Oreochromis niloticus: one gene and its partners. The protein of the gene in region 1 interacts with the protein of each later gene in a pairwise test. Links are inferred from orthologs where the notes say so. Each region holds a gene or a part of one and is shown in the gene's direction. Other genes may lie near its edges.

The links.
Region 2: the proteins of nme7 (region 1) and neflb interact in binary tests that used the Homo sapiens proteins (3 or more experiments, as listed by UniProt). The two-hybrid records come from large-scale screens. The link is inferred for Oreochromis niloticus from reciprocal best matches to the Homo sapiens genes NME7 and NEFL.
Region 3: the proteins of nme7 (region 1) and nab2 interact in binary tests that used the Homo sapiens proteins (3 or more experiments, as listed by UniProt). The two-hybrid records come from large-scale screens. The link is inferred for Oreochromis niloticus from reciprocal best matches to the Homo sapiens genes NME7 and NAB2.
Region 4: the proteins of nme7 (region 1) and zbtb48 interact in binary tests that used the Homo sapiens proteins (3 or more experiments, as listed by UniProt). The two-hybrid records come from large-scale screens. The link is inferred for Oreochromis niloticus from reciprocal best matches to the Homo sapiens genes NME7 and ZBTB48.

Annotation. Positions count from the first base shown.
Region 1 is NC_031986.2:33,233,111-33,240,340, reverse strand, and holds the start of nme7 (nucleoside diphosphate kinase homolog 7), read left to right. Parts: upstream 1-4,225; 5' UTR 4,226-4,512; coding exon 4,513-4,515; intron 4,516-6,736; coding exon 6,737-6,838; intron 6,839-7,039; coding exon 7,040-7,206; intron 7,207-7,230. Other genes in the region: zgc:172121 (homocysteine S-methyltransferase 1), read right to left, coding at 1-51, 131-210, 383-588, 671-853, 1,494-1,597, 1,676-1,833, 1,908-1,975, 3,793-3,951. UniProt on the Homo sapiens protein: Possesses an intrinsic kinase activity. Displays 3'-5' exonuclease activity with a preference for single-stranded DNA. Does not seem to have nucleoside diphosphate kinase activity.
Region 2 is NC_031977.2:10,144,194-10,151,950, reverse strand, and holds neflb (neurofilament light chain b), read left to right. Parts: upstream 1-4,753; 5' UTR 4,754-4,818; coding exon 4,819-5,889; intron 5,890-6,043; coding exon 6,044-6,168; intron 6,169-6,288; coding exon 6,289-6,683; intron 6,684-6,783; coding exon 6,784-6,971; 3' UTR 6,972-7,362; downstream 7,363-7,757. UniProt on the Homo sapiens protein: Neurofilaments usually contain three intermediate filament proteins: NEFL, NEFM, and NEFH which are involved in the maintenance of neuronal caliber.
Region 3 is NC_031970.2:24,802,146-24,810,111, reverse strand, and holds the start of nab2 (NGFI-A-binding protein 2), read left to right. Parts: upstream 1-4,962; 5' UTR 4,963-5,890; intron 5,891-6,083; 5' UTR 6,084-6,188; intron 6,189-6,416; exon of another isoform or gene 6,417-6,453; 5' UTR 6,454-6,464; coding exon 6,465-7,376; intron 7,377-7,521; coding exon 7,522-7,655; intron 7,656-7,966. Other genes in the region: dnajc14 (dnaJ homolog subfamily C member 14), read right to left, coding at 1-65, 1,060-1,162, 1,345-1,505, 1,644-1,763, 2,006-2,112, 2,219-3,385. UniProt on the Homo sapiens protein: Acts as a transcriptional repressor for zinc finger transcription factors EGR1 and EGR2. Isoform 2 lacks repression ability.
Region 4 is NC_031984.2:8,011,706-8,019,556, forward strand, and holds the start of zbtb48 (telomere zinc finger-associated protein), read left to right. Parts: upstream 1-4,847; 5' UTR 4,848-4,923; coding exon 4,924-4,930; intron 4,931-5,221; exon of another isoform or gene 5,222-5,372; intron 5,373-6,251; coding exon 6,252-6,958; intron 6,959-7,084; coding exon 7,085-7,401; intron 7,402-7,473; coding exon 7,474-7,579; intron 7,580-7,654; coding exon 7,655-7,747; intron 7,748-7,833; coding exon 7,834-7,851. Other genes in the region: polynucleotide 5'-hydroxyl-kinase NOL9, read right to left, coding at 202-409, 497-961. UniProt on the Homo sapiens protein: Plays a critical role in transcriptional regulation and chromatin remodeling. Acts as a regulator of telomere length. Directly binds the telomeric double-stranded 5'-TTAGGG-3' repeat.

The DNA of each region.
Region 1 (7,230 bases):
ACTGCCGCCTTAGCTCCGCTATGTGAGCAGGGTCGATACGACAGCATCCTCCTGTAAGACAGAGAAGAGCTGCTCAGAGAAAATGCTGCAAAAAAGAAGACTGAGTGTAAGAGAAAGCAGCTGAGCTCACCTATCAGAGCAGCGCCCTGCTTCACCCACATGTGGCTCAGATCAGGCGTCCATGCTGATGGTTTTCCTGATGTTTGCCACCTTTGAATGAAAAAAAGATCCTTTACTGAATCCATAAAGATATTTAGCAGATTTTCTTTTTTCTCTGTAAGGAATCAAGTTTTTATGGTAGATTTATGTTGTATTTACCGAATGTAAACACGTTGATGTGAGGTGTTTAGACAGTCGTGTGTTAATTTAGCTTCAGACTCACCCCCGCTCAGTGTCCCACTCCTCTCCGCTGTTAGGGTACACCACCCAGCTCATGTCTGAGGTGTGCAGTGGTCCAGCAGAGTCCAGCAGCGGCTCCACCACGTCTGGAGGACAGCAGTTGACTCCCACAGCGAGCAGCTGCCTGGATCTGCTGGCAACCCGCACGGCGTCAGCGAACAGGCTGCCGTCCGATATACACTTCTGGTCCTGATGGCGAGGTGAGTCATTGCGTGACTAACAACAAACTAATATGTATCTTTCACCATTGCTGTTCACCGGCAGTGATTACCTTACAGGAGAATGACAGCCAGGCTTTCGAGTTTGGAAACTCCCTCAGCAGCTCCACCACAGCCTCCGCCTCTTTGATGCTCGGGATTGTCTCAAAGGCGATGAGATCAGCTCCTGCAGCTGCTAAGCAGTCAATCTGAGGCCGGTGCCAAACTTTAAGCTCCTTCAAATAGATTAAAGACACCTGAGAACATTTATTCTCACCTGTCTCAGCAGTAAATGGATCTATAAACTTACTGAGAACAACATCAGAAGGATCAGGCAACATAAATAATCAAATCTGACCCCCTCGGATTCAGAATCGTGCAAAACGTTCCCTTCATACTGTGAATATTTTCAGTTTAAGGCACTCAAAGTACAATATAGGTAAAAAAGAAGTCCTTTCATATGCTTTTACATGGTAATATGAGCTGAACGTTTACCCAGAATGCACGTTTTAAAATATTCTCCAGTGGATTATCCAAAAATATGTAAAACATCCAGGGTACCTATGCTGGTTTTTGTTCCCCTGCATCAGAGATGTTAAACTGCTGCAGTTTTGCTGCTAATTATTAGTTTACAAAGCTTAAATGTTGATCTCTGTTGTACTCAAAATGCTTTAATTTTTTTTGTAACTCTGAAAATAGCAATAGTATTAAGGTAAAAAGTGTCATAGTGTCATTAAATATACTGAAGTTATTGTCCCAAAAAAGGAGGTACTTAATGATTTTTCATGGAACAAACCTAAAATATAAACAGAACCAGAACCGGAGATATAAACAACTATTCTGGGTAATCTTCTCAAAGCAGGCATAAAGTCCAGTACGTGGCTGAGGGGTACTTACTTCAACACTCATCTGCTCTGCGTAAGCTCCAGTGTACTCCGAGCCATCGTGCAGAAAGGCCCCGTACGGCCCCACAGAGCCTGCCACCAGGGGGCGTCTCTGCCCTTTACAGAGAAATAAAATGTGAGATTATATCACAGTTTACAGCCAGAGTCGGCTCAGCTCAGCGTAAGCTCTCCTACCTGACTCAAACCCCTTCACCGTCTCTTTGGCCAGGTGAACTCCGGACATCAGCAGCTCTCTGGCGCGTTCAGCGCTCACCTCCAGGTGGCTGATGAATCCTGGGATACTTGCCTGGTATGTGGCTGTCGTGATGACATCAGCACCACTGAGCAGGAACCTGTTCACACACACACACAGATTTAAGACTCTGAAACTAGAAAGTTTATTTACCAACACTTTGCATGGACACACCTGTAATGAGCATCTCTTATGGCCTGAGGATCAGTGTGCAAAAGCCTGGCGCTCCACAGAGGGTCTCCCTGCATATGTAACACACACACACATGAATTTCAGTCCAGATTCACAGAACAATATTAATAAAACATGTTATAATTGATCTGTAAAGACCAGATAAAAATACTATTCACGTTTTTACGTACTTTACATAAATAAAAACACAAGTTTTGGTAACATTTATTGGATATTTTACTCATGTCCCTATAGATCATGTACTAGAAAGTAACATTACAGCATCTCAACCTTCAGAGTTATTATAGTTTTATATTTTCTAATTAGTTTTTATTTGTATTTCATTTTGACGTTGTTTTGAAGTCCGTTCAGTTTTTTTGTTTGAAAATATTTACATTTTATTTCATTTTTATTAGTTTCAGTGTTTTAGTTTTAATCTTTTTAGTTTTTGTAATTATTATCTTTTACATTATAGGGAGGGAATGTGTCAAGAGGCCAGATTTGGGAAATTCAGTAAAGATATTACAATAAAAACATAAAAGCTGTGAAAATCAAGTGACTCACAGTCACAGACAGGCTGTGAGAACAGGGCCAGAGGATATATTCAGGTCATTTAACCATCTCTCTGAAAATAAATACAAAACCTTGCAGGTATTTTCTTCTGCAAAGATACAGAGTATACTCAGATCACTGATGGACCTTTGATGCTCAGGTTTGACTGACTCGCTAAAGTTCAGCAGGCTGTGATTCTAAGTAGGGAATAGCTGCAGTCTACCTCCCAGGTGAAGCATTGTGAGCAACTAACAAGTCCCAAGTCGCACAAGTTTCACCAGCACGTATGAAAGGAAATGCAGGTGTGGTGACGACTGGAAGCTTCTGGGGTGGAGTGGACAGAGTTTTTCTAACTTCACAAACAGATGTGCCGTAGACAAAGAAACTTAATGTAAGAAGAAAAAAAACTTCTGTTTTGTTTTGTGCACTTTTGAATCTCTTTAGGATTCAGTGGGTTGGACTTCTCAGGGCCACATATGCTCCCATCCAGGTGACGTCTTTTTCGGGGAAGGCCTTGCGTATTTCAGCAGGGGGATGGGAAACAGCATACTTCATCAAATCTGAGTCTGGGGGCTGAACTGCAGGCCTGTAGTCCAGACCTTTCATCAAGCAAAGCGTCTGGAGCATCATGAAACCAAAAACACAACAAAGCAGATTCAGGACTGCTGAGCAGCTAGAATCCTGTATCAGACCAGAACGGGATGACATTCCTCTCCTGATAAGTCCAGCAGCTGCTCTCCTCAGTTCCCAGACACATGGCCTCGTCCCACCCTTTTTTTTATAGATATGTTGCTGCCATCAACTTCAAAATAACCTTGTTGTTAATGTTTTTTTTCTTAAAATGGTACTCAGTTTTCTGTGTTCTATTTTGAATAAGATATGGGCTCATGATTTGCAGTCATTTCACTATGTTTTTATTTACATCTTACACACTGTTCTGTAGACTGTTGCTTTAATGCTTGTATTTAAATTTAACCCTAATAATCCTAACTTCAAATGTTATTTTATTTTATTGAACATTCTCTTTATTCAGAGTATTTGGCTACATGTTTTTATGTTTAAAACTTTAAATATACAGAAATTAAACACTAAACAGACTTTTCACATATTTAGTTTGTTGGGATCTGATAAGCCTGGCTAAGGTCTCTGAACCACAGCTTTAAAATTACTTTTAAATTACTTGTATAAGTCAGTAACACAACTACAAAACAAATAGCACAGCCACCATGGAGACATGGATTGACTGAAAATAGACACAAAACATCTCCAGAGAGAAATTAAATTAGTCTAATCAATAGAAAATGGTGACCTGTTGCAGGTTGTTTTTATGATTTACCTGCAGTTTGGCTCCATGCGCTTCCAGATCAGTTGCCAGTCCACCATCTAGGATCAATGGCCCTTCATCATTAACCATCTGTGTGAGAAGAGCAGAGGAGCCCATGGAGCAACACTTCATTAAAAAATTTACTGGAGAATTCTTTGCACTGCTTTTCATAAGAAGATCATGCAGTCAAGTTATTAACGCTGACTGCTCTGAAATAACACCCCCGGGCAGCTTAATTATTCACACAGATGAGAGTGAAGTGCAACATCAGATCCTTCATTTTTCACTATGTTGTTCTTCCGGGTAACAGTGCAATGAAAAGGTGCGTTTATGGCCGCTGAAAACTGAACTTCTTCGCAGCATCAGCAGACCGCCACTAGGTGTCCTCATACACAATAAATGCACAGTGTATTTCACCAGAACCCGACTCTTGCCTCGCTCCTTTACTTTAAAAACCACCACTGGAGCAAGACAGCGCAGCTTTTCTTTTGTACTGCTTTATAATTATCATGTATACAGTTTAATTAATGATATCCATCCAATGATTTATGACTAATATATTACATTTTAAGGTCTGTATAAAAACAAATAACAAAAACTGTGCTGAAAGGTCAGAATTCCCATGAACACGTGAATGCACCTCTGCAGTTACTATAGAAACGAAGTACGGCTAATGTTTGCTAGCTGACAACAGTGCGCTGTCACACAGAGTTTACAGGGATGTTTTAAAAGATGGTGAGTAAAGGTTCCCTCCTGTCATCAAACCGGGGGGCGTGAGGGCTTCGGTGAAGGTAAAAACTTCCGTTAGAGCCTGAAACAGGTTGCTGTTTGCTACCGTTAGCATAATAAACACAAGCTAGCCGAGCAGTTCTAAACATCAGTGCTTCAGGCTAACGGGTTAGCCGTTAGCTCCTTTAAAAATATCATTTATGGCTTATACACAGTTTAACTACAGATACTACAGGTAGCTGTGTGGTTAACGTCTAACGGTGAACATTAGCTGTGATTAAATTAGCTAAAGGTGTAGCTGAGCAGGTGCTTTTAATGCTGGTAAACCTGGCATCAAACATGTTTCTGCTCAAAGAGTTTCTATCCATTCAGCTGGTGCCCATGTTTTCTGTTTATTCTATTAACTAGGCTGAGTGGAGGAGATGGTCTGAGCTTTTAGTTGTGAGAGACATCCTCATCTTTCACATGGTGTGTTAGACGACTGATTAATGCTAAACTGCAGACTGGTTAATCAATCAATCAAATTATATTTGTGTAGCACCTGTAGGAGGTGGGTCCAGATACTTTACAGAAAACAAAATGCAATGAAACAGAATATGAGAGGAAGAAAATTATGAGCATGTTAAAAATAACTGAAAACATAAAACATTACAAAGTAAATAGCCTGAAGTGCAATAAGACTGTTGGTATTTTAAGAGCTAATCGAAGAAATAGGAGATATAGAGTGGCTTAAAAGAGGGGGAGGAGGGCAGTCATTTACTATGAAAAAATAACCCATTTTGAATTCTTCTTAATTAATCAGACTAACAGCACCAAAACACTGTTACTGATTTATTTGTCCTTGAAGAAATTGTATTCATTCATCCTACTTTTTACTGCCTCTGTGCCTTTCCAGTGGTGCCATCCCACATTGATGGAGCACTGCTTTGAATATACAGACTCAGAAAAGTAATAGTAGATTTAGCACTGATGTTTTGCTTGTTCGGGATAAGACCCGGATCATCGCCAGGCTTCATGAAGCAGTGGTGCAAGAGATAGGGAGCGTTTTCTTTGCAAAACCAATTGGATTAATGATGAGCAGTAGACCAGGAAACACCTTCAGCAAATCATCCTTTAAACATGATAACATTGGCCTGGTGGTGATTAGGACAATCACTGCAGCGAAATAGTCTGTGAAATCACTTCCTGTGTCTTCCTAGCTGCTTAATCTTGATAGGAAACGGCATGAGGAAGATAAGGAGTGTGGAAACACGAACTTCAATGTCCTAAAGATGGATTTTTTTTATTATTATTAGTCCTTTATTTATTCAGGTAAAAATCTCATTGAGATTTAAAATCTCATTTCCAAGAGAGACCTGGCAGAATGATGAATGCAATGCATGGATGAATGCAATGATTTGCAAATCTCATGAGCCCATATTTTATTCGCTGTAGAAAACCCAAAAAATGATCTTCTCTGTGGTATATTTGGTTTTGTGATGCTCCAAATGTTTTCGTTTGGTGAAAGGTCTGATCTGCAGGAAGTGACCTGCAAACCAAATCCAGGCTTGTGTTGCTCAGTGGCAACAGTGCTAACCGATCGTTATCCGTGTTTACTGAATTATTTTTGGTTGACAAGGTGAACTGAATAAAGTCTGCTACTAGTCAGGTGAGCATACCTGATCATATTGAGTCATAACATTTCTGTGCTTAATAATAACAGAAGCCTTTGGTTTGTAAAAAGCCAGATTCTGTAAATATTGACCACCTTATGTACTGCATTCATTTTCTGTTAATAAACACATTTGTGGAAATGTACCAAAATGTAAAAATAAACCTGAGCTGTGTGGATTCGTGCCTCCCAGTTTACATCTGTGAGGTTTGCATATTCACCTGAACATTGGCCTGTGGTTTCAGGCGACATGGTGACCTTTTAAAAGCTCAGTATGTTTAATTTGTTGGCACAAATTCAGGGTTTTCCTGGCTCAAACTGGGCCTTTGGGGTTGAAAAAACACACATGATTTGTCCTCATAAGTGAGTTAGTTTCAGTTTTTTGAAATAAATTGTCAATTTTGTGTTATTTTTGATCATTTTATAATGAGAAATGTCTAATATGCTGGAGGAAATTAATCATGTGGGTGAAAAAAGAATCAGTTGATTTTCTTTTGGCTTTTTTGGGGTTGCCAGAAATTCTCCTTTGCAGAAAGAAGCTTAATATCGAAGTTATATTTATTTATTTATTTTCAGGAGGACCGGTTTGCCTTTCTTACAGAGTGGTATGACCCCACCTCCGCCCTCCTGCGGCGTTATCAACTGTTTTACTACCCCAGAGATGGCTCAGTAGAAATGGTACGCTTTTACCCCAGTGCTTACTTTTTGTCTCTCTTTTTTCTGCCTGAAGGTGTGTTTATGAATGTTCTTTTTTTAATCCAGAATATGAATACCTTGTAATGGAAATTGTAAATAGCTTATTTGTTTTAATTAACTCTATATTGATGAAAATTTCAGATTTTTTCTTTAGCATTTCTGAAAAATATACCTGTTTCACAGTTCGATGTAAAGAACCAGCGGATATTTCTGAGAAGGACCAGATACGATGACATCCATCAGGAGGACTTATTTATTGGGAATCGAGTGAACGTGTTCTCACGACAGCTACATCTGATCGATTACGGGGATCAGTACACAGCAAACAAACTCGGCAGTAAAAAAGAAAGGTATGATCATTCATCTAACTTGCA
Region 2 (7,757 bases), on another chromosome or scaffold:
GAGCAAGTGAGGCAGCGTCTGCTTCATTCTTTATGTCTCCCGTGGTCATCCTTGACCAAGCGATGGACCTCTGTGCGTGCACTCATCCACTGATGCCGGTTTCACCACACTCAATCAGTCATGGAGACTGACAGAATGGGAGCAGACAAGGATCTCGGGTGAGATGGCTGTCAGTGATGAGAATACCGGCGCACTGTTGACTGGATGGTGGATTTATAGAAAACAATAAATTACCTCCATAGGTAACGCGCTAATGTTAGAACAGCAGCTTTAGTGGTAAGCACTGTTGCCTCACAGCTAGAAGGTCCTAATTACGAATCCACCATCTGATTGGGGCAAAGCCGTGTTGCGTTCGCATGTTTCCCCGTGTTTTCGTGGGTTATCTCCCGGTACTCTGGCTTCCTGCCAGGGTCTGTCTCTATGTGTTAGCCCTGCGATAGACTGCTGACCTGTTCAGGGTTTACCCTGACTCTCGCCCTGGGACAGCTGGGATAGCCCACCCACCCCCACAACCCTGAAAAGTGTAAGAGAATGGATGGATGAACAGGATGTTCTGTGCAACCATATTAAAGATTTTTGTTGGTGTGTTTACCTCTTTGAGCAGTGGAGTTTTGAGAAGCTCATGGTAGGCCTTGGCGGACTCCTCAAATTTATCATGTTTCTGCAGATCCAAAGCTTTGTGATATAAAGCGAATGCCTCTGCTTCCTATAGACAGAAACAAACGGGGGAATACAACTGACTTAATGGGATGTACAGAGATGAATGACTGCATCAGCAGATAGAACTAATATTGCTTATTCATCAGCATATAGTATGTAGCCTACTTGAGCCTCTTTTGTCTGACTCTTGCTGTTTCTCAGGGGGTCTTGAGACTCGTCTGCAGCTGTCGAAGCAGCATTTAGTGCTGCTATGCGAATCTGTGTAAAAGGGCAGCGAGAAAACGCTTTACCATGCAGTAATCTGTCTTAGGCAAGGGAGTGTGCGTAGTTACAATGAGGATGTAGCTGACGCTGTGATTCAAGATCTTACCATTTTAATATTTGAAAAGCAGATCTTCTGCCTTCACGGTTCGCAGATTTTAACTGGATACACAGGAAAGAGACATCGATGAATGCAAGACAAAACAAAAATTACACTGCAAAGCCATTTAGTATGTCCTCTGTGTCTTTTTTATTTACTGTTATCTATTTATTTGAATGTATGTGAGAGATTTGGGCGTACACAACCTACAACACAGAAAAGCAATGCGAGCCGGCGTTTCTATCACGCCACGTAATTGCTCTTTAAAGAGGAGATTACGACCACTTGGGACTGACTAGCTTACATTACCGACAGGCCATTCAAAACCAAATGTGGTTAACTTAGCTCTCTGTAAACGATATTTCGCTCCTAGCAAATAATATACAGAACTCTGAAGAGTAGATGCTAAACGTAGCTCACAGTTTCTCCAGCTAGCCGAAATTAGCAGGGACGTTTGTGAGCTAACTGTAGCTTGTGCTCCGCCGGGCGACCGTCACTTCCAGAGCTCAGCGACTTACCATTCATTCTCAATTAAACTGCACCTGTAAAGTTTCAGGTACTCGAGCAACGTAACAAACCCTGAAAACTCCGCGGCTACGAAGCACGAAGCAATTTAGAAACTTAACCTATTCATCATCCTTTGTTGTTGTCAAACATGGATGAGACCCGAGAATATTTGCGTCACTGGATGACATTTGCTGCCCGCCAATCAGTAACGTGGTCACTGATTGGTCAATACCCAGTGGGCGTAATCTTAGGACCAACGATACTGTATGATATTGGGCGACACCGTCTGGGTTTGCTTTATTACTACACCGGCGTACGCCTGCAGAAGGGGCAGCGCGACATGGCATTTGAAGTGTCGGATATTCAGAGGCCAATACAAGGAAAAGAGCACGCCGACTGAAAGAGCATTTATTACAAAGCTACACGCTATCTAAGGAATACACAAAGGTAGCCCAATTGTTGGAATTAAATAGAATATTGTATATTATCCTAATTTGTGCAACAGAAACCCAACCTGCCAAATGCGTACTCTTGCATAGTGTTATTTTAAACTACATCGGTGACCAATCAGGAACCTCTATATATAAAATTGCAAATTAAAGGTTGGGGCAAAATCAGGTCGGTCAGAGGGATGTACACTTGTTATTGGTTATATCTTTGTTTTCCAAATGACGATGCTCCGCGAAATAACATTATATCTTTATAATAGTGTCATTCGTACGGAAGCGTAGAGCTGCCACCCAGGCAAAAGAAAAAAAGAAGTATATCACGTTATAACGTGAAAAGTTTATTGTTCTAACAAGATACTTTTCACGTTTGTACAATATACTATCATGTTTGTACAATATACTTTTCACGTTTGAACAATATAATATCACGTTATTACAATATGCATAAATATCACGTTATTACAATATAAATATCACGTTCGTACAATATAAATATCACGTTCGTACAATATAAATATATTGTACGAACGTGATATTTATGCATATTGTAATAACGTGATATTATATTGTTCAAACGTGAAAAGTATATTGTACAAACATGATAGTATATTGTACAAACGTGAAAAGTATCTTGTTAGAACAATAAACTTTTCAGGTTATAACGTGATATACTTCTTTTTTTCTTTTGCCTGGGTGGCAGCTCTACGTTTCATTCATACATTCGTATATTTTAGTGGTTAATTAAAATGGGAAGAAATGGGTAATTTCATACTAATTGAATAGACTTTTTTCTCAGCAAGTAGCCCATTAAAAAGCCCCTCTGCGGTCTCAAAGCCTCAATGGGGCAGCAGGCCATTTAAACAGCACGATATGCATGAGTGGCTCGTTACAATACCTGTGCCAGCTTCCTAAAAACGAGCATGAACTTTTAATATGCAGAGATATGCTTATCCCCTCTTGACCAAAGTTAAAATAACTTCATCGGAAGCTAGGCTACCCGTAGTATGTCAAGTTTATGCAGAGGTCCATTCGTAGTGTGTACTAGTGTCATGGTCCACAGTTAGATGGGTAAGCAAGTGCACAGATTTGGTAAAAATAAAACTGAGGGATTTGGGAACAGCCTATTGCAACAAATCCTTTGGGCAGAAAAATCAGTAGCCTTATACATGTTTGCTTGTATGTTTACTTGTTCTCATCAAGTCCAAGCTATTAAATCTTCAAACAACTGTGTACAATCATACATACACTACACGAGCAAAATGTCCAAACAAAATGTTGTGTTTCTCCTGAAACATTACTGACTTATCAATTATGCACTAATAATGGCAAAATTTATTAACTTGATTTTTTCTTGATTTGCGACACTTCAAAACTGTATGTAAACTGCAAAACTAACAGAAATACACGCAAAGTTTGTAGTAAAGTGCATAGCCATCTCATATTTTTTTCCAAGTACGTCTTTAGACTGTAGTTCGGCCTGTGCACTATAAAGCTGACTGCCCATGGATGGACGTGCATATGTTCTTGAGAATCCAATTCCCCATATTTACAAGATAAATATGCAACCCTGTTTCCTGGAAAGCGTGGGTGCTGCAGCATAAGCAGCACGTGTGCATAATATATAAAATGTTGAAAATGAGACATGTTGTTTTATGAAAAATATAGCTTCATTTTGAATGTAGCACCAACCACATACAGCCCATGAGTATTATCTTGCATATTATTGAATTAATTTATCATATATTTATTTATTCACCAAATATACAGTTCATATTGGCTAAATCAGGAGATGACAAGGTGTAAACAAGAACATTTGTTATAGATTAGTGCTCCCAGTCTTAAATATTTATAGCCCTGTTTCCATCATGGAAACTTTCCTCACGTACTAAGAACCATTCGAGTGACTCGTGTTTTTTCCACGGCGTGGATCAGGGTCTAAATCAGGGGTCCCCAATCCCAGTCCACGAGGGCCGGTGTCCCTGCAGGTTTTAGATCTCACCCTGGGTCAACACACCTGAATCACATGATTAGTTCATTACCAGGCCTCTGGAGAACTTCAAGACATGTTGAGAAGGTAATTTATCCATTTAAATCAGCTGTGATGGATCAAGGACACATCTAAAACCTGCAGGGACACCGGCCCTGGTGGACTGGGATTGGGGACCCCTGGTCTAAATGAAGCTCTGGAAAATCAACATGATCAACATTGTGACATGCATGGGAAACAGTCAACCACTAGAGGGCAAACTTTTATCTATAATCATGATAAGATCCAGTTTGGTTTTTTTCACCCTTTTTTCAGCACCCCAAGATGCTGAGCTGATTACCTTAGCAATGGTTTGCTGTGATAGTTGGATCATAATAGAAATTTCACTGATACCTTGTCAGACATTGCTGACAAATTGTATAAAATTATGCAAAGCAGTGGCTAAAAGATGGTTTTCCCTTTATTCTGTAGTTTGCACAGATATGTGATAGAAAGATGAGGTCTTTGTCAGGGTTTCTGATGAAGAACTGCAAGAAAACTGCAGCTTCTAGGTGTAACAGTATATCATCTTTGTCCTCACTGACCCTGTCTGTTGCAGTCCCTTGTTGCTCTGTCGTTGCTTCTCCCCCGCCTCCTCCATCCCTACACTCATCCTCACCCACCCCATCTCTTCCTTGGCTGAGACCGGCTGGCTGGCACTATTATCAATTCTTTCTGTCAGCATGCCTGCAAAGAAAAAAAAAAAAGCTTACGTCACAGTCATTACTGGCCCTATAAAAGTCAGAGTGATGCAGATTCACTGTGCAGTCGGCCCGGCAACATTCACAGACACAGAGCAGCCCGTCTCACTAGTCATGGCTTCCGCCGGCTTTGACCCTTACTTTTCTTATGCTTACAAGAAGCGGGGAGTTGTGCGCAGCGGAGGATATGGGGCTGGTGGAGGAGGAGTAGCTAGGTCTGCCTACTCCACCCACTCTGCCCCAGTACCTTCCTATGCATCTTCACGCAGAAGTTATCCAGCATACACCCGAGCTACTTCCAGCTACTCCACCCTTCTTTCTGCTCCTGTGTTTGCAGCTACTCCTGAGCTACGCCTTGACCAAGCAGCCCAAGTCAGCTCTGAGTTCAAAGCAGTAAGGACCCAGGAGAAGGCTCAGCTGCAAGACCTGAATGACCGCTTCGCAAGCTTCATTGAGAGGGTCCATGAACTTGAGCAGCAGAACAAGTTGCTGGAGACTGAACTCCTGCTGCTTAGGCAAAGGCAGACGGAGCCATCCAACATTCGGGCCCTGTATGAGCATGAGATCCGCCAGCTCCGTGTAGCTGTGGAAGAGGCCCGCCATGAAAAGCAAGCAGCCCAGGACCACAGGGATCAGATGGAGGATGTGCTGAGGAACCTGCAGAAACGGTATGAGGAGGAAGTGCTTGGCAGAGAGGAGGCCGAGGGCAGGCTCATGGATGCCAGGAAGGGAGCAGATGAAGCCACACTGGGCCAGGCCGAGCTTGAGAAACGAGTCGAGACCCTGCTGGAGGAGCTGGCCTTCCTGAAGCGCCTCTGTGAGAGTGAGATTGCGGAGCTGCAGGCCCAAATCCAGTACAGCGCAGAGGTGTCAGTGGAGATGGAGGTTGCCAAACCGGACCTGTCTGCTGCCCTCCGTGACATCCGAGTGCAGTACGAGAAGCTGGCACAGCGCAACCTGCAGTCGGCCGAAGAATGGTTCTGCAACAAGATGAATGTCATGACAGTGGGCGCCACTCGCACCACGGAGACTGCACGCGGTGCCAAAGATGAAGCTGGAGAGTACCGCCGGTTGCTTAAAGCCAAAATGCTGGAGATTGATGCCTGCCGCCAGATGAACCAAGCTCTGGAAAACCAACTACAGGAAGTGGAGGAGAAACAGAGTGCCGAGATTGCTGCACTGCAGGTGAGGCACAGAAACAAAGGAAGTGCAGTGACCTCTGTTTCTTTCTTGTGATATAAAAAAAAAGAAGAAGTGATCCTTTGTTATTTTCTGTTACTCAGAGGAGTCACAGAGCAGATATTTAACTTATGTACATATAACATTTCTCTTTGTACAGGATACAATACGTGAACTGGAAGAAGAGCTGAGGGCAAACAAAAATGACATGGCTCGCTACTTGAAAGATTACCAGGACCTTCTGAATGTGAAGATGGCACTGGATATCGAAATTGCTGCATACAGGTAAGTGCCTTATACATAGTGTCCCACTGTCTTATATACTGGATGGGTAATTGTGGAATACACAATAAAATTGGCAATTAGGCATCTCATCTTCTTGTAATGTGTGCTTTATCCTATCAGGAAGCTCCTTGAGGGAGAAGAGAATCGTTTGAATGTGGCAGGACCGATTTCTGTCACTGGGTACTCCCAAGCCATGTTTTCTGCTCCGTCCTATGCAAGAACGCAGATCTCCATGCATTCTCAGCTGAGCTCTGCAGCTCCATACCTGCTGAGCTCCCGCCTGTATACTACATCGCTGCCCACAGAGGAGACAATATCTGCGAGCCAAGCACAGCAGGCAGAGGCTAGCCCTCCCGAAGAGGAGGAAGAAGAGCAGGTGGAAGAGGAAGAGAAAGCTGAAGAAGAAAAGGAGGAAGAAGAGGCAGCGCAGGAGGAAGGGGGGGAAGAAGAGGAGGAGGAGACAGCAGAGAAGGAAGGAGACGAAGAAGAGAAGGAGGAAGAGGCAGATGCAGAAGGTTAGTGTGGTAAATTTCTATGTATACCCCTGTGCGTGTCCCTGTGTGTGGGAAACTAATGTGACCTTTTATCTTTCTTCACCTCATTTTCATCGCGAAGAGGCTGAGGCAGAGGATGGAGAAAAAGAAGACGAGGGGGAAGGAGGAGAGGACGGCCAGCCTCAAGAGGAGGAAGATGCCGATCAGAAAGAAACAAAGGGCGATGAAGAGGGTGAGAAGGAGGACGAAACTGGAAAAGAAGAGGAGGCTGAGGAGAAAAATGGGAAAACAACAGATAAAAAAGTCTAACTTTACTCATTTTAAAAACAAAGTGCTAGCCTGTAGCTAAAAGGATGTTCCAAATCCTCTGGTGCTCCTATTTGCTCTGATGTCTCATTCAAACCAAATGAAAATCTCTTAAAAAAGTGCTGGTGACCTTCACCTCTGTGTGGTCGACACGAGTGCCTGAAAGCATGTATGCACAGGTACACTCTGCAAAAGATTCTGCAAAAAAAAAAAAAAACATTTACAAAGAAAGGATTTGTCAGCGGTAGGAATTCTGCTTTGTGAAGAAATGTTTGCTGGTGCTTTACCTTAACCAAAATATGCTTATGTAACTGCCTTGTATGTGCAATAGCCTTCAAGTCCATCATGTGCTGCATTAAACTCCAATAAAGCCTTGAAGCCTTCTTAACCAGAAGCTATCTCCTGGATTTTAATTTTTCCAAGCATTTGCAATGGTGTGTCAAATCGAGTAACATTTAGCATAAATAAAATGCATAAAAAGAAAATCATATTCAGCGTCCAAGCCCTGCGACTCACTTGCACATGCCAGGATGGAATTTTTTACTTCCTAATTAGCCCCTGAGCTTCTTCTTCTTTCGTTCAGAGTCTTAAAGCAAAATGCTACTGTTGCACTAGAATGTTAATGGAGGTTAATGGAAAAGTACGGAAATGGCAGCCAGAGGGCCTTGCTTCTGTTCACCACGATAAATCAGCTCACAATTGACTGAGAGGAGGAGGGCTGCAGCAAACCAGCACGGTCAGCAAGTCTGGATCATCTTAGGTCTTATTCAGCAAAAAAAAGGAGAAAAA
Region 3 (7,966 bases), on another chromosome or scaffold:
TTCGGTTGAAGAAGTCCTGCAAATCAGCTGGGTTGGTCGGACCTGCCGCGTGCTCCGACGGTGTCCTGAAAGATAAGATGGAAATTTAAGTTTGTCAAGTGAAATAATGTTATTGCGTGGAGAGGAAACTTTTTGACTTTAATTGAAATGAATAGTACAGCTTTCTTTATTGTAAACGTTGTTATTTCAGCAATACACAAGGGGGAGCTCCTCCTCCTGCCATGCATGTAAAATACACACACACAGATGACAGACTGAGAAAGAAATAAAAAGAACAAATATCAAACATGTTTACATTAATCTAATTTAAGCAAAGTCAGACATTTTAAAGCTTATTTATTTTAATTTCTTCTCTAGTGCCAAAAGGTTTGCATTTTCCCCTCTCTGCACATTTAAAAGGAAAACTCTCCAGTCTGCTGCTGGCAAAGGGCAGATGTTTAAAAACAAGCGGGATAAACCTGAGCCTTTGTGTGGTTTGTTTGTTTAGATCGCACTCAGGTGCAGACCAAAGCAACCACACAAAGACACTTTGGAGGTGGTGGTGTCAGTACAGTTCCAAATGAACTCCAGATCAGCTCGTTTATGTTGTGAACATGATCCGAGCTCGAGCCAAACCAACGACCAGGTGTGCGTTGCAAGTTTGAGCCATGCATGCTTTAAATTCTTGAGCGTGACAAAGTACTATTGACAAGAAAAGGTCTGCACGGGCCAGCAACTAGCTGTGAAATGAACTTTCCAATAGTCCAGAACACAGCATCATCTTCCTGTATTTACTTTTGTTGCTCCCACTTCAGTCACATCTGGCCAATAAGTGGAGTAAACATTGTCATGTGGTTTGTAGGGATGCATTTCGGTTGCTTGGATTTTTCTCCATGTTGCGTGAAAACAAACAAAATCACAGGGAAAAGTTAAAAACTCATCAACTGATGCAGACCACTTAATGAGTTTGTAACTATAGGTGTGAAAACGCCCCTAAGTGTGATGGAGAGGGATCAAACTGTTTGTTTTGCTTCATAAATATTAGATACTGTATCCAAACGTTCACCCAGAGGGATGTACCTGTGTCGTGTGGCATTGCTGTTGTTCTTTGAACCAAAGGAGATGTGATACGGGACCCGGTGTGTATCAGGAGAAATTCCAATTCTCTGGCAACCTGCCCACTCTGAAACGAGATAGTATCATAAAAGGTCACATGACTGAGAGTAAAATGTTCAGCAAGAAAAACCCGTAGCTTTCAGTAGCCTGTCGAAGTATCAACAAAGATCGCTGGTAAATGCAAACTCTGAGATGCACTAGTGGTTTGTTACTAACGAGCCGGCCAGGTAAACAACAGCTGATGCTCACCTGTAATATCATACACCTTGCCATCCATACAGGCAAAGTATGTGATGCGTAGGCCCAGCATGCTCGATTCAGCCCACAGGTCCCCTTCCTCGGCGCTATGGTAACGGTTGCATTCAGCACAGAACCGGGCCTCAGCGGGTTCACGATCCATCTCGAAGCGCCTTCACACACACACAGGAAACAAAGAAAACACACATGTGCTGAAAGCCTGCAACACAAGATTAGCTACAATTTTTTTTAGAATCTTTTGATTTCATGTGCAGCTGTGTGAAGGTGATGCTGGATGTGTAACACCATACTTGTGTTTGCCTTCACACTTGGTACACATCATAGTATTCATGGCTTCCTTCAGGTCATCCTGCAGTTTAGTGAGAAACTCGTTCATGGACTTTGAGAGCTCAGTTGCTGCCATGCGCTTCCTGCGTGAGAACGAGTAAGACAAGTTGTTGATCAGAGATAATGAGTGAAATGTCAAACTTGCTAAATAACTGCACTTGAGTGAGGTTTGTTTGTTTTACCAATAAGAACTAAAAGAAATAACTAAAAAAAATCACTGCATTAAAATAATTGACAAGACGATTTAAAATACAATAAATAATTGTGATTAAAATATTTCTTTCTTTTGTGGTTTTATTGTTGATTTTTTTCCCCGTGCACTTACAACTCATACTCTCGTCGTGTCTCTGGATTACTGACAATATCCCAGGCAGCTCTGAGCACTTTGAACGCCTCTCCAGCTCGTGGGTGTTTATTCTTGTCTGGATGGACCTGAAAGAGAACGGATAGAGGAAAAGGTTGCATGAGTAAAGAATCAAAACTAGTCATTACAGCAGGCATGTAATAGTAAAAATTGAAGTATTTCTGATTCTCACACCTGGACAGCCAGCTGTCTGTAAGCCTTCTTCAGCTCAGTGTCAGTGGCATGCACCTCAACACCGAGAACTGTAAAGGGATCGAGCTCATCCTCTGGTACCTCAACCAGTGCCAGCAGTCTCTCCAACTCCTGGCCTGGTTGAGCTCTTCCTGCTCTGCCAGGTGACCCCGGTGCGGATGGCGGTACATGACCATCCCTCCTGAATAGGCTTCGGGCTTTCTCCAGCAAGGACACTATCCTCTTCCAAACGCGTGACTCCTGAAAAGCCGTCCAATAGTGCTTCCCCCTATCCCCACCAATACGAAGGAAAACCCCCTTGGCCCACTGCGATCCCAGAATAACCAAAGCACAGAAAAATGTGAAACAAGATAAGGCAACTGTCTTTATCCACTTTACTGACCTAACAGTTTTATCCACCACACAAGCTCCTTTGCACTTTGCCCACTTCAGAATCCGGATCGCATCTGCCTTCATTCCAGGAACATCAGTGACCTTCACAAGGAGCTGCTGCCCAAGGTTGTAAAGTTTTACAACTCCAGTCTCCACTCCAACTCCACAGTTGTGAGTTAAAGTGACAATAATCTCAATCATCATGTGGATGCAAGAGATGCACCAGAAGCTCAGAGACTCTGACAGCATCTCCTTGAACGCTAAGATGAGCTGGTTTCCTGTCCTCCGCCGGCCCCGGTTCTGCTGATAGTGGTGGTGGTTACGTCTGCGGGTCTGCTTGTGCCGACCGCCACTTGACATAACATTTCCTCTCTGAATCTGCTCTAAAACTGACCCACCGCTCCTCAGTTTGCACTTCCTTCCACTTCCCATGTTCCTCCAACCAGACTCCCCATTCATGTGCTGCTCCTTTGCTGCATCATCCTCTTCTTGGTTTATAACCTGTGAGTTCTCATTTTCTGTAGTCTTGTCATGCTCAAACTCTTCTGAAACCTCCTCAATATCATCTTTGGCCTCTGCTTCACCAGCCCCAAGGTCTTGTAGAGTGGCTGGGTTTGGAGTTTCCTGAGATCTGAGATAGGCTGTTTTGTCCTCCTGCTCGCACTCATCCTCAACCTCACACTGACTTGAACTGGTCACTGAGGCCGAAACACCATCAGGGATCTCCTCGTCAGTGTCCACAACATCCATCTCTTTCTTAGCAGCTTCTCTTTCCATGTTCCTTACAGCAATTTGACTGAAACGCTGTAAAATCTGACTTTCATTAAAGAGTCCCTAAATCCATAATTTGAGGCCACATTTTCCCCAGGCTCTCATAAAAAAGCGAGACTGGGGGTTCGCACAGGTCAAGTTCAGGTCCACCACATCAGCAGCCACTTGTAGGTATCAAAAGGCTTTTGCACAACTCACATGATGCACTGGAGCTCCTGAAAAGCAAGAGATATGAATCAATCTCCAGGTTTTGATATCACAACAAGTCTGTGTCACCCTACTTAATATAAGTGAATCCTTGTTCCTGTTATTTTTGGCTTTCTGATTTCATATATAACCATAAACCATGTGCCTCTACCTCACACTATCCCTAGCGTCCCTAACATCCACTTTCCCTCCTCTGCACATCTCTACTTTGTCTCTCTAACTTTGTTTCCAAGTGATTTTTTTTTAAATGTATTGGGTTAAATGCAGGAAAAAACCTTAGACGTTCCAGACAACTGAAAAGTAAGAGGAGCATTACTTTAAGACAAATGCTTTGACACCAGAGCGCATAATAACTGCTAAACAATAAGTTTTAAAAGAAACAAAAGGGGGTAACTACAAATTTACAAGTTACGCAGTCAGTGAGCAATGTAGCTGCACGACTTCATCGGTACAACTGTATATGTATCAAGTAGTTACAAATACCCTCTTTGAAGCTACTTTTACGCGTATTTATGCAGATGTGAAAACAGACTACATGCAGTTACCCTGCTTTGTTGTTTGCTAATCCAGTTAGCCAAACAAGAACGCAGTGTGTCTAAAACCCGACCTTTAATAAACAACCTTTTAACTTTTCACAGTAAATAAAAAGGGTATAAAGAAGTCAGTTAGACCCTTAACATGTTAACTGTGTTCAAATCACCAGATGTTTTAAAAGGCGGATAATGTTAGCAGGCAGTCCTGGTGTTAGCATGAGGAAGCAGCCAAGCAGGATGACAGACAGGCGCTACGGGGGCTAAAATTAGCTTGCCTCTGGATAGTTAACCTGGCAACATTTCGACTAAATAAGGTCACAAACGAAGACACAACAGGCGACTGTTAATGCTTTTAGCGAGCCAGCAGTGAACTCTTAGCTACTAGCAGGACTAGCTGAAATATAAACGCCTGTTTCCCCTTCCTGTGTGGTTGGTTTGGCTACTAACGCCAAGACGTGTTTAAACACCGGGACGTCCAGTCCAACAAAGAAGGCAAATAAAATGCGTTTTGCATTAAAACAAATGAAATGTCATATATACCTCTCGGATAACTGTATAACCTTGTTTGTTAACAGACATCCAAGTGTCGGTGTTGTTTTGTTTTTTTTAAGCCACTTCTTCTTCTTCTGCGGCTCCTTTTCCCACTTTATTGCTACGTCCTCTTCCGCCTCCAGCTCCCTCTTCGCGGTTTGCGCGCGGTTAAAACACAACAGCGGGACTCTGCTGCCATCTAATGTTTTGGGAATAGCTGACCGTTAACGGCTAACTTTAGAAATGTGGGTTAAGAAACCCAGCAACCCTGTTTTTACCCGAGTCCTAACTTAGTTCATAGTAGCCTGCTAATCACACTCGGAGGAAAAAGGATAACACATTTTCCTTAATACTAAGATTTGCGTGTTAGAAGCCCACGCTTAATGACCACGATGTTTTGGTCTGGCTTATTTTTTTCAGACTCCATCTTATGCTCACAGTAAAAGGGTAGTTGGGTTGTTATTTGTAACATATGAATAAATCCCTTATTTCTAAAGTGCGTGGTGTAGATGTACCTAAAGGCCACTTAAAACTGCAAATGGATAGGCACACAATACATATCTTAGGCCATCACTGTGCAATAGAACAATCATATAAAATGTGGCAAACAAAAAGGATTGGAGATGCTGGTGTTGGACTTTGAGCTTCTTTCGAGATACTGTTAGTCAATTTAAAGTCTCGATTTGGTGACTTGGTCCTTTACTTTTTCAAACATAACAAAACAAAATACAATACTAGCATTTAAAAACTGCTGGAGCTTCACCCACTCTACCACCTCCTACATAAAATGGGGGGAAATAACAGAACTGGTCTTCAGTAAAAATTCACATCTGTCACGTCAGTTTATTCTTATCTATAGAGGTCTGTATAGTGTATAGCTGGCTGCTTGTTTTGGGAGTCTCTGACATAGTAAAACGGTGGGAACCCCCTAAAGCTTCTGCATAAAGGACTAATCTTGAAGACGCAGAGGGTTAATTTCAAGCCCCCACCACCACCACCCACATCTCCAATTTGAAAGCCGCCTCTCTACCGGGAGAGGAAGGCTCTTTTTCGGTCAGATGGCGTGCTGCAGTCCGCCCCCGTCATTCTCCAGCCCACACAGACAGCAAAAAGGCAGCCAGCAACCAATACGGTGCGCCGGAGGAGGATTTCTGCCAGTGATTTCAGACGAGGTAAGATACGCAAAGGGGATTTACTACGCCAATCTGCGCCGAGGAAGCTGTCGGCAATAGGTAAGACGGTAAGAAACGAATGGGATAATAACTGCGTTGTCTTTGGGTGCTCTCCTCTTAACATCTGGATAGTAAACAGTTGCCTCCAGTCGATGGCTTTATTTGAAATGGAGCCAATAAAACGAGTGTTTCCACTTTAGTGCAGTCTGAATGCGGTTCTGTCTGTGATCAGGAGATTTTAGTTTTTATTTCTTTTGTCAGTATTGCTCCGGCAGATCCGACCCGTGACATCGGTGGCTGGAGCGACACCCTTGCGTAATTACGCCGGTTTCCTCTTTACACATCTGTAAAGCTGACCTAAAGAAGGTAAGAAAAAAGCGATTTATGTATATTCAAAGGTTAAGTCATGAAAAATATAATGAGTAGATAGGAGCTTATTCTGCCCCAAGGGATGCTTAAACTTGCTTTTAACTGTTTATCAGTTTTTATTATTTCACTATATTTGTAATTTGTATTCTGTATATACTAGGTGTGGTCCAGATGCCAAAGTCTTTATCTAAATAATTAACTTGTACAGGATTTCTCCATCTGCAGGTTCATGTCTTTCCTTTCTCCTGCCTAAACTTTCCAGTGCTGTGTGCCATGTCTCTGCCACGCACACTTGGTGAGTTGCAGCTGTATCGGGTCCTCCAGAGGGCCAACCTGCTGGCCTACTATGAAACCTTTATCCAGCAGGGTGGTGACGATGTCCAGCAGCTCTGCGAGGCAGCGGAGGAGGAGTTCCTGGAGATCATGGCACTAGTTGGCATGGCCACCAAGCCACTGCATGTGCGTAGGCTGCAAAAGGCCCTCCGAGACTGGGCGGCGAACCCTGCCCTTTTCAGCCAGCCTGTTGCTAATGTTCCTCTCGGGGGCATCCCGCTCTTTAAAGTTGATGGCACTGGCACAAGTGGATCAGCTGGCGGGCCCAGAAAGTCTGTGAGTAATGGGCAGCCAGGATCCCCCTGTGAGAGAGAGGATCGGATGTGCCTTACACCAATGCACAGCGGGAGTCCAAGAAGCCCCTGTTCCCAGGCCTCTCCACAGCCCCCAGACACACACTACAGGGAAAAACTTTCTCCAATGGATCCACACTGGCTCAGCCCAGAGCATGATGGGAACTGCACTTTGGGTTCTGCACCTGGAACAGAAGAGGAGCCATCCAGCCCACCTCTGCTGTCAACATGTCCTCCCGGTCCTTCCACGTCTCCGAGCCCCTCTGCGTCTTTCACCCCGGCAGCTCCGTCTGCCTGGCCCGGAGGACAGCTGGATGGGGAGACAGCAAGGGCCGTGGTGGAGACTGTGGAGAGGCTCCTCACGACCCTGCCTAGGTCAGATCCTGCAGAGGTGAAGACTTTGCTGAGGATGAATAAGAAGATGGCAAAGACTGTGGGACACATCTTCAGAATGGGGTCCCAGGACGTGAACAAGGAAGAGGAGATCCGGAAATACAGTCTTATTTATGGGCGCTTCGACTCCAAGAGGAGGGAAGGCAAGCAGCTCACACATCATGAGGTAAAAGCATCAAAGTGAAGATGATGTTAATGCATCGCAATATGTTTTATACCTGATTAAAGCTGCACTTCATACCAGAGTGCAGCTTTTTATCAAATGTCAATCAGTGTCCATCCCTTCTGCAATCAGTGTTTTTCCTTCTCAGCTGATCATCAATGAAGCTGCAGCCCAGTTCTGCATGCGTGACAATGCCCTTTTGCTGAGACGGGTGGAGCTCTTTTCTCTGGCTCGGCAGGTGGCGAGAAAATGTGCCTACACCTCCACGCTAAAGCATGCAAGGTAAGAAGACGCCCGCAGAGAAGAGCAACACACCTCACGCCTGTTGTGTTTTAATGGAGCTTGTGTACCAAGAAAGAAAAAAAAAACTGTTAGAGAATCAGGGGTGTAGCTTGAAAGATCCATAAAGTCCAGATCATTCGCAGCCGTGAACACAATGCTTATTTCAGACTGAGGAGCATCACGTGAAAAAACTTGAATGAAATGATTTTATAGTTTGTGTTTAGCATGTTCAACAGGTGATTTATGTGAGTCATCAGCCAACCAGTGGATTCATTTCCAGAGTGAACCTGGTTCACGTCTCAGTGGGAATC
Region 4 (7,851 bases), on another chromosome or scaffold:
TATAATTATTATTATAGAATTATTAGCCTAAAAAAATCTAGACTTTGCAAAGAGAAATAAGGTCCAGCTATGTAGAATTCACAGGATTTTTGCCTATATGATATGAATTCTAACCAATCAGACTTCCTAGTGCTATATTTTAACTGAAAAACCAATACAAATGCCTAACTTCAAACATAAAAGAAAAAGTGTGCTGCTCACCTTGTGGAAGATACTTTTGGAGGATGTGTGATGCCTCGTTTCTACTTTCCAACGCTCTGATGCTTTCTAATCCTCTAATACTCAGTGGACAATGTGACGCTGGGGAGAAAAGCGAATATGACTGCTGACCCTCTTCGATGGTAAATCCCATAACTTCTACACGACCATAAAGACAGGTCAGAAGGCACTTCCCGCGGAAACACAGCGTCTGCAGGTAAGACATGATTAGTCACAGAAATGAATTGGAATCAGATTAAACATCTACATGTCCAACTAAAAATCAACTGATGCATACCTGATCCTTCTGCATGACAAGTACTGTGCGGTTCTGTCGATCGTCTCTCTGCGCACAGTGATGCAGAGCCTCTCCCTCCAATCTACCTCTCCGGACATCCTCAGTGTTATCTGAGGTCTCCATACCGTTCCCATGCACTGACTGGGAATACTCCTTCCAGTCCTGTGAGTCATTTGAGTCATTGTCTATGGTAAACACTGAGCTTCCATTAGCCTGAGCATGTGTCTTCTTAATTCCAGACTCAGAAGAGCCATTCTTGTGGTTAGAGACAGACTTCACTTTATTTTTCAGCCTCTTTACAGATGGTTTTTTCCTTACAGACTCCTGGTGGTCCTTCACCATGCTGATCACCACAGGGCTAGAGTTTACATTAGAGGAACTGACAGGAGGTCTGCACCGTTTTCCCTTCGCATCTTTCCATTTGTGAGATTTATGTTTTACCTCTGCGTGTTTGTTCACTTTCATGATTGTCAGCAGTCATTCAGGTACAAGAAAAATGAAAAGGTGAACCTGCAAAGAAAAAGATGCACTTTTAATGGAAACAAAGCATTTACACTCAAGCTATTATTAGTTTAGTTCTGTGGAACCCATCTAGTTTACTTAAAGAGCAACTTTACTTCATGGCATTTAACTTTTGCACAGAGATTTTTATTGTAATAATATGATAGTTATTATTATAATAATCTTCAGTTATTTTTAATAAGTGTTCATCTATCCTGATGCCTGGGTATTTATGGGTTGAAACTGTTGCAGTCAAGTTCCCGCTATGGTGTTAAACATCAGTTTTAGCTTCCATCACAGGTAGCAGACTGTTTATGCTTAAGCTGACTTGTCTGCTTATATCTTATTGAGTTCAGTTAAATCCACAAAGAGCAGTAAATGTCAGAGTAGCAGTGGCGCAAGTCAGCTGATCACAACACACACACACACACACACACACACACACACACAGAGGAGCTGGTGAGTGAAAGGAGAAGGGTGGCTAAGCTGCCATCCCTGCTGGACAACATCTCCTACCCCATGCAGGAGACTCACAGCACTGACTAGCTCCTTCAGTGGTAGGCTGCGGTTCCCACGTGTGGGACTAATAAAGGTTATCTTATGTTATCTTAAACAAATCTACTGGAGCTCACAACACAAGTTTTTACATGTGTTATTCCTAAGGGACGTTTTCCCCCAATGTTGTAGGCGATATTAGGGTTTTGTTTTTTTACATTTGATCTAACTTAAGTATTTTTCACCTCTTTGAGTCATTGTATAAGACTGTGAGTCTTTATAAGACAGTAAGGCTGTTTTTATTATGTTTATTTTTATTTTAAAATGACAAGGCACAGAAATTTACATCAACACTCCATCATTTAAAATTAAGTCATGCAGGCTCAGTTTCATATGCAGGTTCACAGCATTTATACCATAGACCAGATAACCATATTAAACAAACATTGAAGGCCACTTACAAAAACTCAAAAGCCCATGAACACAGCTGCACTACTTCAGGTTACTCTTTGTTTACGTTATTCATTTAAAAATTGTGTTTACTGTTTCGGCTGCTGTAACACAGGAACTACTCGATGTTTGTGATGAATACAGTACATCTTCTCTTAGGTTAAATAATCCTGATAATAGTCTTGTTTTAACATATCCGTTAGCCAGAGCTAGCTTTCTTTTCCAGCCACAGCTCAATATAAATGAAAACTAAAGCCAATTATGTCGGTTTTCCACAATTTAATCTCTCAAAATGTGAACAGGGCAATGAATAAAATCACCTTCACGCAGTATGACAACAATGCAACCTCAATTTTAAACTTGGGTTGAAGTTATCACGACCAACTTCACCTACCACCGCCTCAACAACTAGCATTAGCTGCTAGCTAAGGTGGTTGCTTCCCGAGAAAACGTTGCTTTAAAACAGATGGCACAAAGCTGTAGTTATAATCCCTGTGCTTTGGTTGCGAACATGCACAGGTAATGTTTATAATTATTTTAAGAGACACTAAAGAGCTGGTCACTTGTAATTGCAACGGTGCTAACAGGCTAATACTTACATGTGTGAGCCGCAAACAGACGCCAGTCCAGATGGTCAACTATGACTTTACCCGAAGTGTTATTATCTGCTAAAAGAAGCGTCTAACAACTTAATGTACTTTTTTAGTATTTTTTCAATACGTCGATAATATTACAGACAAATGGAGCCACGAGTAAGAATCTGGTTACGTCTCAGATTTTGATTCATGTGATCGTTAATATTTTAATATTGTACGACATAAAACATTCCCGGAGTGCGGTCGCATAAACAGCGTCACATCCTGTTCACTTCGCACTTTTTAGGGGCCTACAAGAAACGAAAACAAGGTGCACGAAGCTAGGCTTTTCTGTTTTATCACTCTGCTCATGTTACGCCCGGATCGTGTGCAGATTACAGAGAGGCTCGTCGTGTTTACTTAGTTTTTAATCGATAATTCAAACGCGAGCTGAAGCTGTAGCTGTCTGCTGGACAGCGCGCTAAGGGAGCGTCTTTAAAGAGATGTGCTAGGAACTAAACGTGGAAGTGCAAAGTAGGTGGGAGTTTGCAATTATTCACGAATGCTTTTTCGAATATGTACACTGAAAATGCACTAGGGTGTGTTTAGACTTTATTTTAAAGGCAGCTCAATAAATGTTGTAAATATAAGGACACAAATTTAAATCTAAGGATTATTTAATTTGTCCATCTAATATTAAGAGCTATGCTCAGTACATACTTTAAAATGTTTTTTAAGAATATTTTTATACTGTCAAATAATCAGCAGTGTTGGATAGTTTTAGTTATTTATTTTTTAAATACCTTTAGTTATTTAAATTAATAAAAATACAAATCCAGCAAGTAAAATCAATGTAAGGAGTATAATCAGGAAAATGTACTTGTAGTATTAAAAATAAAACTAGTGCACACAAATAATTACTGCTATTAGCTATATGATTTTTTTGTAATTGTTTTTTTTGTTTTCTCCTAAAATGGATTAAAAAGGTGCAACGTGTTCATCCCAGTTTCCTTAAATCGAACACCAGCAGCTTGCTTTATCTCACAATTCATAAACTAATTGTGTTCTGTCTCTTGTCATATAAGATAAATAAAAGCTGCAAACATCCTCACATCTAAAGAGCTGGAACCAACATATACATTTTGTTATTTTTGCAAGAAACCTTAACAATGAATAGACTTAAAAATCTTTGCATTAAATAATAATACTATCAGTAATGTTTACAAATCTCTAGTAATTATGATTTATAATGATTTCAGGGTTTTTTTCAGTCGGAAAACATCAAAGATACTTTTATTTGATAAGCACAATATTATATTTGTTGCTTCTGCTTTATGTATATGTTTATAATCTCAGCATCTTTGGGATTTTAATCGTTTAAATTGAGCTGATAAAAAAGTTGATAGAATTTGTTTAAGATATAATATAATCGAGCATTTTAAAGTCAGACAGTCGACTGAACACATCCTGCGGTATAGTACATATGTCAGTCTCGTCTTGTAATTCCTCAGTGTGATTGTTGCTTAAAAATACTACTTAAAGCCTTTTTAAATACTGTTTTTAATGTTTTAAAATATTTTATTCATTAGAATTCCTTTTGGTGAGATACCTGCGTTTGTAGCCGGTGTTCTTAGAAACCGTCCTACTTTGGCAAATGGTCCTACCCGTATTATAATTTGACGGTGACTTGTGACTGGGGCTACGTCCACACGTACCCGGGTATTTTTGAAAACGCAGATTTTTCTATGCGTTTGCACCTTTCGTCCACACGTAAACGGCGTTTTCGGTCACTGAAAACGGAGATTTCTAAAAACGCCTGCCAGGGTGGATATTTTCGAAAACTCCGTTTTTGCATTTACGTGTGGACGAGGAAAACGGAGAAAACAGCGTCAAAGGTGTGCGCCTTTTTTGACGTCACACTGTGCGCCACGTTATTGTTTCGGTGAAATGAATTTCTACAATACTGTTAATTGTACTCTCTGCAGTGTTTAAATGCTTACATACACACACACACAGTTACTGTCCCTCCACACATAGGACTCTGTTCTGCTTCTATGCCCCATCTTTGTTTAGTATTTCCCACCGAGGCTTCTAGACTTCTGTTTGGCCAACATTTCTACACGGTTAGGAATATATCGCCACCTGTCGCTTTGGCATGTTCCTAGCAGCGTCTTCCTTCATTTCTGCGTTTACGTGTGGACGGGATTATTTTTTAAAACGAAAACGGAAAATCTCCGTTTTCAAAAATACCCGTGTACGTGTGGACGTAACCTAACTCTAACCATAACAAATATTCACAATGGGTTGTGCGCATGCGCAGAAATAACGAGTAGGTAGGGTAGGTAGGATGGTTAGGTAGGATGGAGTCCCAGAATACCCCGGTGTGTTCCTGCGTTGTGTTTGACAATGAAAGGTAAAAAGAAAGACCTCCAAGTAAATAACTTGCCCGCTCCAGCTCCTATAACCAAATATAAACAGTTGGGACGAGAGTTAGCTCAACCCAGTACACTTTCCAAGCTAGCCAGAATTATCTGTTCATGCTAGCATTAACGGTGCCTACACACATATGTGGCACACATGTACTACATATTCATAGGATCTAGTAAAGACAGGGGTGAAGATGACAATAATGAACTAAAAACACAATCAGAAACATCAGGGTGGATACAGATATAATTAGTGTTGGAAAAGAAATTACACCAACCTCTACCACAGTGGAATTGTAGAAAAGGGGAGAGGCCAAAGTGGTACCCCAAATTTATAGGTTGCACCAAAGAAGAAGAAGAAGAAAAGGATTAGGAGGGGCTCTAACTGATAATGAAGCTAACTACAGGCTTGGAGGTCCTAAAAGTCAGGTATAAAAGGAATGGTGTGGGGTTTTGAACACATTTTGTGTAATTATAACAATATGTAATTTATGACCCGGTTACACATTCAAATGTATTTTTTTGACCTCACACGCACACTTGATTCTTCAGTCAGTGCAAATACAGTACTGTGCAAAAGTCTTAGGTTACCTCTCCTTTATATTTTGCTATGAAAACGAGAAAAAGATGCTAAGGGTTATTCAATGAGGAAATACAGGCTATAAGGCAAAAACAGAGTTTTTACAGTTCTGTTCTATAACATAGCTCGAACTCTCATAGGCAGCTTTCTTGACATTTCTTAAGTAGTTTTCAGTTTTCAATTACGACACAAAAGAGCCAATAGATACTGAAAAAGGTTCAGATACTCCGTAACCCACTTAGCTCACATAGTTTGATGTGAATGCCAAAAATCCTAATTACATATGCAGCGACCCCTCTGCTTTGCAATTTAAAAAACAGCTGATTGTTCACTCTGTCAAATGCTTTGGGCGGATCTAAAAAGCACATAAAACTGATGTGTTCTGTCTCTTATATTTGTATATATATTTATGTACAGATCAGTATTACACTTACTCTTAAAACCAACTTGATTATCAGTTGTTGTATGCTTTTGAAATCTGTGTTCAAACACTTTACAAAATACATTTGCCAAGGCAATTGGTCTCTAATTATTAATACTAGTAAATCTTCCCAGTTTTATCTTTCATTACTGGCACTAACAGAAATGATAACATGGAAGCAGGTAAAATACCATCAGTTCAAAATCCTGTAAAGCACTTTTAGAGTGACATGTGGATTTTTTGACTAGGTGCTCTGCTGATAATTGGTCTAAACCACACGCTTTGTTTGATGTGTCTCATTTACTAGCCATCTACAGTGAAGCAGGAGGGATGTCTGCAGCAGAGAGCAACCATGCGCAACGTGTCCTGTCCGCCCTGAACCAGCAGAGGGCAGTGGGCAGGTTTTGTGATGCAGCATTGAATGTGGGAGACGGGGTAGTGTTCCTTGCTCATCGCAACATCCTCGCCTGCTTCAGTGAACTCCTCCAGCAGTCAAACATGCCTTCTGCAACAGAGTTCTGCCTGCAGGGATGCCCCAGCGATGGCTTGGAGCTGCTCCTAAACTTTGTCTACACCGGAGAGCTAAAGTTGGATCCTCACAACCTGGACAGAGTCCAGCAGGCAGCAGCCAGCCTGTGCGTACCAGAGGCACTCACACGCTGTCACCAGTTCAAGGAGACCTCTAAGGAGCCTGTGCCTGTCAAGCGTAAAAGAGGTAGACCTAGAAAGTCTGCCTCAGACATCAACCCAGTCAAAGAGAAGAATTTAATTAAAGTCACGAAAGACGAGCCCACCATTGATACTGCTGCAGCCAGTTTTACCACTGCTGCCACTACTGCAGCAACCACCACACGCTCTGGCCGAGTAGTGAAGGGCCCCAGGCGACTAGTGACTATCGATGAGAGCCCTACAACTGAAAACGAGTTGACCCCGCCTCTTCCTGTGGAGAAAGAAGTTGGTGATGCAGTTGTTGAGGAAAACCAAAACTCAGATCAGCTAGCTGGTGAAACTGAGGTAGAATACAATAACATAAGCATGAAAAAATATTTCAATGACGGGGCATTTGTGTGGATAATAATGAGTGTGTTTTTAAAGAGGAATATAGGGGATTTTATTACACCTGTCTCCTGTTGTTTGCAGGTAACGGAGCTGCAGATTAACGACAATGTTATTAGCCAGGTAAGTGGGGGAGTGGAAGCAGAAGACGATAATGATGACTTGGGTATTCCGGAGGAGATTCCCGAAGACACAGATGAGGAGTATGTGCCTGCTGCTGAGCCCGCTTCCTCAACCACATCCCCGTCTACGTCGACCAGACAGACATGCAAGGCCCAGAGTCAAACAAACAAAAACAAGAATGGTCAGGCGATGGAGGACGACTCTAAGAAGGCCTCCGTGCAGTGTCCCATCTGCTTCAAAGCCTTCAAGAGCAAATACTACCTCAAGGTTCACAACAGGTACAGGGTGTCACCTTTTTTTTTTCTTTCCAAATGCTGTTAAAGGAGTAAACTAATGTCTCATCTCCACAGGAGGCATACAGGGGAGAAGCCCTTCGGTTGTCTTAAATGTGGAAAACGGTATTACAGGAAGGAGAACCTTTTGATACACGAGATGAGAGACTGTGCTAGTGTGCTGGTGAGTGAAGAAAATCACACTTTCTCCAACCCTCACTATGAAGAATCCTCAGTGTTTTTACTTTTATAATTCCAGACGTACACCTGCCTCACTTGTTCTGCTACATTTAATGCAAAAGAAGCTCTACGATTGCATACTGTCACCCACACAGGAGAAATGCCCCACAAGGTACAGCACACACCTAACAAAAAGCATAACTGAGTATGTCACAAACCTGAAGTGAATATAAAGAATGTCTTCATCACATTTTGCAGTGTTCAACATGTCCTGAA